Nothobranchius furzeri: one gene and its partner. The protein of the gene in region 2 binds, or shares a complex with, the protein of the main gene of each other region. Links are inferred from orthologs where the notes say so. Each region holds a gene or a part of one and is shown on either strand. Other genes may lie near its edges.

Evidence for each region. Proteins that work in one complex are often made in the same cells at the same time.
Region 1: the proteins of insrb (region 2) and grb14 are in contact, whole or in part, in a crystal structure (PDB 2AUH), measured with the Homo sapiens proteins. The link is inferred for Nothobranchius furzeri from reciprocal best matches to the Homo sapiens genes INSR and GRB14. Residues at the interface, in NP_000199.2 of Homo sapiens: Leu1065, Arg1066, Ile1069, Glu1070, Lys1112, Arg1116, Arg1163, Met1180, Arg1182, Tyr1190, Lys1192, Gly1193, Gly1194, Lys1195, Gly1196, Leu1197, Leu1198, Pro1199, Val1200, Trp1202, Ser1207, Leu1208, Lys1209, Asp1210, Gly1211, Gln1235, Asn1242, Glu1243, Leu1246; in NP_004481.2 of Homo sapiens: Glu373, Asn374, Ser375, Leu376, Val377, Ala378, Met379, Asp380, Phe381, Ser382, Ser386, Val388, Ile389, Glu394, Val398, Ala399, Glu401, Glu402, Gly403, Leu404, Trp406, Arg407.

What each region holds. Positions count from the first base shown.
Region 1 is NC_091754.1:19,800,713-19,806,251, forward strand, and holds the start of grb14 (growth factor receptor-bound protein 14), read right to left. Parts: upstream 3,248-5,539; 5' UTR 3,074-3,247; coding exon 2,895-3,073; intron 2,048-2,894; coding exon 1,930-2,047; intron 1-1,929. UniProt on the Homo sapiens protein: Adapter protein which modulates coupling of cell surface receptor kinases with specific signaling pathways. Binds to, and suppresses signals from, the activated insulin receptor (INSR). Potent inhibitor of insulin-stimulated MAPK3 phosphorylation.
Region 2 is NC_091748.1:58,182,753-58,187,756, reverse strand, and holds the end of insrb (insulin receptor b), read right to left. Parts: intron 4,824-5,004; coding exon 4,727-4,823; intron 4,634-4,726; coding exon 4,566-4,633; intron 3,643-4,565; coding exon 3,413-3,642; intron 2,370-3,412; coding exon 2,259-2,369; intron 2,136-2,258; coding exon 1,973-2,135; intron 1,882-1,972; coding exon 1,752-1,881; intron 1,659-1,751; coding exon 1,524-1,658; intron 1,426-1,523; coding exon 1,071-1,425; 3' UTR 847-1,070; downstream 1-846. UniProt on the Homo sapiens protein: Receptor tyrosine kinase which mediates the pleiotropic actions of insulin.

The DNA.
Region 1 (5,539 bases), on a different chromosome or scaffold from region 2:
CCCTTTCTCTCTCTAACCCTCCTGCATGCTGCATGTTTTCCCAGACTTCCAGAAAAACTGTTCCCTAGCTTTCTGACTTTCTAACTAATCAACCAAAGGGGTCTACTGAACGCAAAAAAAAAAAGCTTAATATGTGCTGCGCTCACCGAGGCACAGATTATGAACTCAGCTGAGGCAAAGCACGTCAGAAAAGTACTTAAAGTACCAGAGCATATGGACGGATGAACGATTGCAAGTAAATTATTTTGTTTTGGTGGAGCGATTTTGTGAATGTTACAGCAACCGCGCGCAGGACGCAGCTGGAGTATCTGACCTGTTACTGCTGCGTCCTCTCTGCTCATAGAATAGATACTGGATCTTTTTTTGGGCTTCCCACAATTTGAATTTTTAAGAAACCCACATCTTGATCCTGGGTTTAACCCTCTCAGACTCAAAATTAGTCTTGATAAAAGGACAAACAACTAAGTCCTTCAGGGATACTTCTGAGTTAAAAAATGCTCAAGAAACGTATGTGGAGTAACCAGGTAGGTAGGTTTTAACGTTGCTATTCTGCAACGCCTGCCTCCTGAGGGTTAAAAATGCACTGTAATTACCGCGTTACTGACAATTGTACCGAGTAAATATTACCATTTTCTTTCCCTGTAATGCCTTACATTACCACATTACAGCAAAAAGGAATGCATTACAGTAATTAATTACTTTTGTACCACATTACTCCCAACACTGCAATTCAGTAATGGGGGGCTACTAACCTGCATACTTTAGATACCTTCCCTGCTTCAAGACACCTAGTTTATTGGGTTTCACTAACTAAATCTGGGATTAACACATTTCTGCAGAACATGACAGGCTAGGGGTATGATTTCACTGATACATTAGGCGTGTTGGAACAGAGAAACATCTCAAACCTGCAGGATAGTGTCCCTCCACAACTATCCCAAATATTTTACCCCAGCAATATTTTTTTCATAAATAATCAGTTAATCAAGATTCTTCTCTTGCACTAATGTCTAGAATGTAAAAACAATCAGCACTATAAACAACTGCAATGAAACTGCTGATGATCTGAAGCAAGAAATATATAAAGTATGGTGGCGCACAAAAAAAAAGTCCATTTGTTCCCAAATTATTCTACACAGGCAACACAAGGAGGATGGAGTCCAAGCAAAATCTAACAAACCCTGCTTGAAAAACTGCTGTACCAAGTCAAAAAACACTAGATGCTTCAAATGTCTCTCTAAAATAAAATAATCATCAATTTGCTTTTAAACAAAACAATATTTGTGCCCAAAGTCGGGTATTTATAGTGTGAACTGCAAAAAAAAAAAAAACGCATTTGCAGGCAGGAGTTAACCAAAAGCCAACTGGTTTTAAAAGTCTAAGAAAACACTGTGTAATAAAAACAACCGAAACTGTCTCAACATCTGTATCGCAGTGAAAGCTTGTCGAGTACTTCCCAGCATGCAGTGCACGATAATCACACACCCTGTGCTAAAACAAACAGTGGAGCTGCAGGCACTGGGCCAGGTATTTCTTGGGTAAGCCATAAACTTATTAAGTTTCAAATATAACATCCACTGGTGGTGCAACACCTCACTTTGTTTATTCATTTTCATATTGTTTGGCGGCCGCCGTGCAGCAGTAAAAACCTGCATTTTCCCATGTAAAACCATGCAGATCATCCGTGCACTCTAACGCAGCACTCATCTCCTCTCTGCGACTGATTTACATACTTGTAAAACCGGTCGAGCCATCCACATATCCTGAGGTTTCAAACAAAATTACAAGTCAAACACTATGGAACTAGGAGTTCACGTGACTTTCAGAAATGACCTGCAATTGCTTTCAGACCCTTGTTTAAACTACACCTAGGATCTGTGCTCAGGGGAGAAGCAGAGGCTGTAATTTGTCCCAAATAAGGACACTCACCTGAGTTGTGCTACTTTTCATCCATGGCAATAAACATTCAGATGTGATGGATGGGAGAAGCTCAGGGAAAGGCTTTGGAACAGGAGAGGATAAGGACTCTCCTCCTTCTCGAACGCTCCTGAAACGAGCCAACAAAAGCACCAGAGAGAATGAAACATTAGCGGATATTGTGTAATAATTCATGAGGGATTGCTCTGTTTTGGCAATGCTACATTCTTATTTTTCAATTCCAAGCACTAAGGTTTGCATTGTGTTTACCAAAGCTGTAAAGTGATGAGAAAAATAAAACCTTTATTTGTCCCTCAGTGGGGTCATTACATTATTGCAACAGCTCAAGGACAGAGGAGAGCAGCAGTAGCACACAAAAGATTGTAAATTAGATAATCAAGATAGTTATTAACATTTTATAAGCAACTTTGTGAGAAATAGAGACAATCTGCAGCTATGTCTGGAGTTTGAAAGAGATTAACAGACTCAATGTTGCTTTGGTGCAAATTAGGAATTAAGTAGGTGATAAGCTAGAAGGATTTTTGCATTGAACCCTCCTGCTTCGAGCTACCTGAGGACACGCCTACTCACCAACAGACTTTTGATAAAACAGCAGATAAGAGAAATGGGAACGGCCCTCATTGTGCTAAACTTGTGCACCTTTTTTACACAAAAAAAAGACAGATTTATAAAATCAACTATAATTCACTCTAAATAAAATGCAACTGAAGGTAAGTAAAAGTTTTCCAGTGCGCATTTTACTGAGTCAACGTTTGTCACCTTCAAAGCAACAGGTGTTTGATGTTTGAAACGCACTGAAGGAACAACTAAAGCAGCACCTTTCTGACCAGCTTCTCCAAACACAAACTGTGTATGATTCAAATATAGGAGATTAGAAAAGTATGAAAATTTTTATTTCAATTTGAAATACAGGCAGCAAATGTGACACAGCATGCATAAATAAAAATGAGTCTTACCTGTTTCCCTTACACAGCTTGGTCCCGAGCTTCTGAGCATTTGGTGTCAGTAAAGGCTCTTGCAGTGGGATGAGGGCTGGGCTGGGAAAGCCACTCACATTACACTCACCACTGTGAAAAATCCCTGTTTTCTGTCCGAGGCTTCCAGAAGTGTGGATTTTCTCCAGTGTTTTATTCATGTTACTCGTGTGGGTTGGCTAGATCCGAGGCATCATCTGGAGCAAACAGCAGAGGCGAGCTGTTGGGCTGGAGAGCGTGCCCAGTTGGAGCAGGCTGACTGACTGGCGGGGCTCTTCTGCTCACAGCTCAGCAGTGCACACACACACACACACACACACACACACACACACACACAAGTTTCTCTAGCTCATCTGCTGCCCACAGGGCTGGCCCAGTGGGGCAAAGTGATCCCTCCTACCCAAACATGATCCACCACAATAAAGATATTTTTAACACAATGACTCTCACAACAGCCCTGCTCACTCTGACCTCATGACTTTTTTTTATTAACAATCACCCCCCTTTTTAAGCTTTTAGACTCACTTTATTTGCAAACTGTGAGTAGCTGGACAAAGAAGACACAAGACAAAGGAACTGAGCCCAAGGAGGCTGTAAAACCAACTGTCCCTTCTTGTGGACCTTGTACGGGTCTGCACTTTAAACCTACTACACTGTAGACTGAAGACAGCTGTAAAGAGTAGCCAGACGGTGCAACAGACTGGTTGTGTTACTTGCTGTGTCACTCAGTGACAGGCTCCACGTGGGGGATGGTTGGGATGATAGTATCGTTCTTAAAGGTAATGTGTAACAGACCTCGACCAGGGGAAATTCAGACCAACACCACAAAGCTTATAAAATAATTAAAGCAAGTTTCCAGCGTGGAAGCTTTTATTTGCCAGAGAATCACCTTTCCTAAACAACCGCTTCAACATAATCCAGTTTTTGGCTTCAGTTCAACCTAAATGTGTTGGAATGGAAATTAAGCTTTAAAAAAATAAGGTGCATTATCCCAGTTGCAGTGATGCAAGGAAGCTTATTCAAACATTTATTTTTCCATGTAACCAATGAATACGAGACGCTTGAGTACATTTTAAATGAATAAACACATAAATGAATGAAAAATCCACTGTTGGAAACTTGATATAAATAAGTAAAAAAAATAGTTTAAAGTGACACCTCTCTTTCCTTTGGGGAGAAAATATGCTAATAAATCCATCCATCGATTTTCTGCCGCTTATTAGGGGTCGGGTTGCGGGGGTGGTAGCTTAAGCAGGGAGGCCCAGACTTCCCTCTCCCCAGCTAATTGGGCCAGCTCCAGGTGTTCCCTGGCCAGCTGAGAGACACAGTCCCTCCAGTGTGACCTGGGTCTTCCGTTAGGTTTTCTCCCAGTTGGACGTGCCCAGAAAACCTCACCGGGGGGGTGTTAAGGAGGCTTCCTAACTAGATGCCCAAGCCACCTCAACTGGCTCCTCTCGATGTAGAGGAGCAGCAGCACTTGGAGCCCCTCCCAGATGACTTAGCTTCTCAGCCTTTCTCTGAGGAAGAGTCCAGTCATCCTAAAACTAATTTCATCCACAATCTCGTTCTTTTGGTCACTAGCCAAAGCTCGTGACCATAGGTGAGGGTTAGAATGTAGATCGACCGAGAAATCAAGAGCTTTCCTTTCTGGCTCAGTTCTCTCTTCACCACGACAGATCGGTACAACGCCCGCATCACTGCAGACGCAACACCAATCCGCCTGTCGATCTTGCGCTCCATCTTTTCCTCACTTGTGAAGAAGATCCCGAGATACTTAAACTCCTCCACTTGGGGCATGACCTCATCCTTGGCCTGGAGAAGACCTTCTACCCTTCTCCGACTCAAGACCATGGTGTCGGATTTAGAGGAGTTCCAGTGATAGCCGGAGATCACGTTCTGATGAAGCAAAACTACATCATCTACAAAAAGCGGGGACTCAATCCTTAGGCCAACAATACAAATCCCCTCAACACATTGGCGGCGCCCTAGAAATTCTGTCCATATCCTGTCCAAACCTATCCAAAGTTATAAACAGAATCGGTGACAAAGGGCAGCCTTTACTGAGTCCAACTCTCACTGGAAACGAGCCCGACTTACTGCCAGCAATGTGGACCAAGCTCTGACACCAGTCAAATAAGGACCTAACAGTCCATATTAGAAGGCCTGGTACCCCATACCCCCCAAAGTGCCCCCATAGGGGGTATGCATCTAGGAATGCGGTCAAACGCCTTCTCCAAATCCACAAAGTACATGTCCACGGCCAGGAAGAAAACCACATTGCTCCTCCTGAATCAGAGGTTCGACAATCTACCAGGAAGGTTCAGGAGCGTGATCCCCCTGTGGTTGGAACACATTCTGCAGTCCCCCTTTTTAAATAGGGGGAGCACCACCCCAGTCAGCCAGTGGAACTGCCCCCGATGTCTACGCGTTATTGCAGAGCTGAGCCAGACAACGCAACTCTTCAACATCCAGAGCCTTAAGGAGCTCTGGGTGCATCTTAACCACCCCCGGAGCCTTGCCACAAAGGAACTTTTTGACCACCTCAGTGACCTCAGCACCAGAGATTGGAGAGCCTAACCCAAAGTTCCCAACCTCTGCTTCCTCACTGGAAGATATGCCAGTGGGAT
Region 2 (5,004 bases):
TTTGTAGTCAGGTGGGATTTTGCAGCAGGAACTTTGCCTCCATCTATGGTGACTGCTCTGATATGAAAAGAGGGATTTCTCCTCCAGATGCAGCAGGAACTTGAGGTCTGACACTTGCGCAGAGAGCGCTGACGGTAGATTTGTGTGATTTCTGGGGTTAAAAACAAACAACACTAGCAAAGGCTGTGGTGAAAAACCTTACGGATATGAACTACAGTATTTACAAAAACATCATACAGTATATAAATCAAGTATGGGTGGGAAGCACCCATACTTCTTATATACCATATATATAATATATATTTAGATTTGTCTATAACTACTAAACCATATGAAAGCAGCAGCTATTGGTCAGTCTGATGAACTCTTTCTTGTCCAATTATTGTTTAAATATCCTTCAGCCACATAATGAGGACAGAGAAATAAAAAAGAAGGGAAGGGAAGCCAATAAATTAAAACTATTCACTAAACACCGGATTAATCTGTGTGCCGTTTGGAATTCTGCAGAACCAAAAACACAAAATCTTTATTGGAGGAATCAGATGTTCTACTTTTGAGTCTTTGCAAGTCCTCCCACTGATTAAGGTGTACAAAAAGGAAACAAGTTTAAGAACGCTGAGAGACACGATTCTTTCTTTGCAGGCCACGTAGAAAAGGCCACAATCTGAGTGGAAGTTTGGAGAGAACAGAAACAATCAGAAACGTGGAAATGCAGAGAAAGTCTTGTGGCACGAGCAGCTGTCCTGGTTGGCTAAAGTTTGCTGTGTTCACAGTTTTCAGTTTGTTATTTATTTAAACGCCGCCCCACTTTTTCTCCATCACGAGGAGTCCTGGAAACATGGCTGTGTGTCACCACAGATTCATAGAGTCTGATGTGTCGTGGAGCAAGTTTTATAAACGTGTTTGCATCCCTTGCTTGCCCGTCTTGGACAGCGGTGAGGAAGAAACGGAAAAGTCCTGAGATCTGCGTCTTTTCTTCCTCTACGAATAAGAAAACTGTGAAAAGAACAGAAAATTCAACTGGAGGGGGGCAAAGGTGAATCGAGTCTTTTTTTAGGAATAAGGAAATGTTAGGATGGGCTGGATCTGGGCAATGATAGGATTCTTCCGTTTTTCTTGCCACCGTTCATGTGCGTGTAAGGAACGTGTTCCTCGTAGTTCCCCCTGAGGGCCACCGATGGCCCGCTGTCCCTGCCTAAGCTCTCCTCTCTTTGGGAATAAGAAGAAGGGTCCAGGGGGATGCTCTCCATGTTGTCCAGGTCCAGGTCAAAGTCCTCTGTCTCGGGGACTTTGTTGTCCTCGCTGTAGAAGAAGGAGACCTCCTGGAAGGATGGGTGCAGGTCGTCCCGCAGCATCTCGATGATATCCAGGAATGTTGGACGCATCTTAGGGTTGTACTGCCAGCACATCTGCATTAGGCAATGCCTAGCAACAGAAGACCGAGACAATGAGAAAAGACTCAAACAGATCACTGCGAGGACTCCTCATTAAAGAATGGATGAATGAACAAATTCCGTGTTTACATTCTCTCTGGGCAGTTGTCCGGGCGGTCCAGGAACCCTCCGTCCATCACAAACTTCAGGACCTGCTCGTTGGACAAACCCTGGTAAGGCTGCTCTGCTAGCGTGCTGATCTCCCACAGCACAACTCCAAAAGACCTACACACACACACACACACACAACAACGTGGTGACAGGGTGAGCTGACGGGATAACAGAGCTTACACAGCAAGTCGCTGAGGCGTGGCGTACCAGCAGTCTGAGTGAGCCGTGAAGACTCCGTCCTTCAGAGACTCCGGAGCCATCCACCTAACGGGAAGCAGACCCTTCCCTCCTTTACGGTAGTAATCGGTCTCGTAGATGTCTCGAGTCATGCCAAAGTCTGACAGCAGGAGATCAATGCATCAGGACCGACTCTGAAACCCAAATCTGCCTCAAAACCAAAAACACAACACACAAAACGACTGCCGTACCTCCGATTTTTACTGTGAAGTCTTCAGCCACCATGCAGTTTCTGGCTGCCAGGTCCCTGTGAACAAACTTCTTGGCGTTGAGGTAGGCCATGCCGTCAGCTATTTCTGCTGCCATCTGCAGCATGTCCTTTAGAGTGGGCGGTGGGCAGCCGGATGGGTTGTTCTGCAAACCACACACGGAAAATCAGCTTCTACCCTTTGGCGAACACATCACAACCTTCAATCTTGTTTCAGTTTATTTTGCTTTGACCGATTTAACCCTGACTAGATGATAACCAGAACGAACCTCAGAGTCCGGTCTCAGACTGCGAAGGTAGCTCTTCAGGTCACCATGAGTCATCAGCTCCATGACGACCAGAGTGGGCTGACCTTTGGACACGACCCCCAGCAGACGCACCTGTAAAACAGAAAGTCGCAGCATGACACACACCAAACCCTCCCAGCTCAAGACAATGTTTCTTTAGTTTTAAAATCATTTAAAGGCCTGCTTTAAAGACCAAATATAAATAAATGCCTTGTGAGTCGATCTGTGTGGGGGGAAAAGCTCTGGCGCTCCTGTTTCAGGAACTAGACGTGAACCAGAGGAGAGATGAGCAGAAGGCGGCAGGATTTAGATTCTCATTTCCTGATATTCTGTCATCTCGCCTCTGATTGGCTAACAACAACATGATTCTGAAACTCTGAAATAGAGGCCGACCAACATGTTTTTTTTTTAGGCTGATGCTGATTTTTAAAGAATATTGTTGCTGATATCTAAAGCCGATATAAATACGTTTTAGCAGCACATTGATTGTGAAAGACAACTGGACACTCACCGTGTGCAATATAAATTAAATATTCAATAAATCTCTTTATATTCATTGAACGTCAAATAGAAAACAAAATCAAAACATTAAAGAAATGGTGTGTTGGGTTCTTCGGGTCCTTTCTTCAGCATAGTAGTGGCGGCAGTTGGCCACAAAGGTGCCTGCTTAATTTTTTTAACGTTTTTATTGGCTTTTAAAAATAATTTTAGCCGATATAGAAAAAATTTAATATATCGGACGGCCTCTACTCTGAAATCTCTGTGTGTGTTAAGTATAAAAGCTTTTCAAGCTCCTACATGAATTAATAACAGCTCCGATATGAATTATCTCCTCCTGAGGTGGTAAATAATAAAATTCTCTCTCATCGCAACATGTTTTCACAGCTGACAGCACAACACATGCTGGCTCAATTGATGCCTAGTAGCTTGTGTAATGAAATAGTAATGGCCGCCGCAATCGCCTACTGAGTGTGAACATTTGTTTTGGAGTCAAACTGTGTGTCAGTATGGCAGCTCCAACACAACACGTGAGTCACGGTTCTCTGAGACACGCACTGGTTGCAGCTAAAGGATAAAAGAGCAGTGAGGTGCTGTGAGTCAGCAGCCCGCTGGACGTTCTAAGAGGGTTTTCGTACCACGTGGTGGCAGCTGAAGGCCTTCATGACGGACGCTTCGTTCAGGAACTCGATCCTCTCTCGCAGGCTGGCTGATTCGTTGACCGTTTTGACAGCGACGCGCGTCTCGGGCTCTCCTTTGACAATGTCCTGAGCATTTCCCTCATACACCATGCCGAAGGAGCCCTGGCCCAGCTCTCGGAGCAGCGTGATCTTCTCCCGGGGCACCTCCCACTCGTCAGGGACGTACACTGCACAAAAAAACCAAGATTTTTATGGGTGTCTTGAACAGAGAAGACAAATAGAGAGAAAAAAGGACTTTTTGTAACTTACAAAAGAAAAGGATCTTTATCAGAAACAACAGAACTGAAACGTTTTATGGTTTTTAAACAAATTTTTGATTATGGTGCAAATTTTTCTACTTCATGTGACATAGCTTTCCTCAATATTTGAAAACTTAAACTTCACACACAACGGGTGTTTTTAATACACATTAAATGTGAAACATTTCTGACTTCTTTCGCCCAAAAATTCTGAGTTAAGTGTGTACAGCAGGGGGATTCAATCCCGGGCCTGGGCGGCCGGTATCCAGCATGTTTAGGTTTTAACGCTGCTTCAACACACCTGATTTTAATTAGTAGGCGATTAACAGGCTTCTGCAAAGCCTGATGAGCTGCTGCGTAGGTAATTCAACCACTGACTCTAGTGGGTTGGACTAGAGAAACCACTACAACGTGCTGGAATTGAATAGCCCTGGTGTACACCCTCCAGTTCACCTGAAATTCCTTTTTTTTTTTAAGTTTTATTTTTTATTAAAAACTGTATCTCTTACATAAAACTCAGACACAAACATTAATAAATGTACGACCATCACACTCTTCCGCCTCTCATTGATCACGACCGTTTTGAAGATGGTCAATAGTTTATGCACAGCAACTATTAGTTTGAGGTTTAACTTTAGGGTATCACAAGACTGTGGTTACCTTGGCAACGCAAATGAGCCACAGGCAGCAGCTTTAACATTTCTTTTGATTTTGGTTCTCTTTACGCTCCTTCAACTGCTGTCGGTGTTTGTAGAAACAGGTTGCCGTATATTTCAATTTTAGACATTAGCTGCAAAATTTTGCTGGAAAACGTATTCAGATGTGTTTTAGTTGTGTTACAAGACTCTTACTGTCATTGGCGCTGAAGTATTCAGGGTTTGGAGATGTGATGAGATCTCCTAATGGACCATCACTTTGCCTGCAACACAACCACAGGAAAAAAAATAAATCTGAGATGCTGTAAATGATCTCACGACACAACAGCACACTTGATGATGATGTCACATCTCACCTCTTCTTGATAACCAAAATGACACCAGCAGCCAGGAACAGCAGCAGAATGAGCAAGATGATCGGGCCGATCACAATCCAAGCTAAACCCGGATCAGCTGCAGTAAACAAAGAGTCAGTTCAGCTGGAGAACGGCAGAGTTTCACAGTGGAAAAAGATAAATTAGGTACAAAATGTAATAATAAACTTGTGAAATAGACTTGAACCAGGTTGTAGCCTGTGGGTTATTAGAGGAGGCATATTGGGACTTTTTTATTAGGTTCTAATAGTTCTATTGTC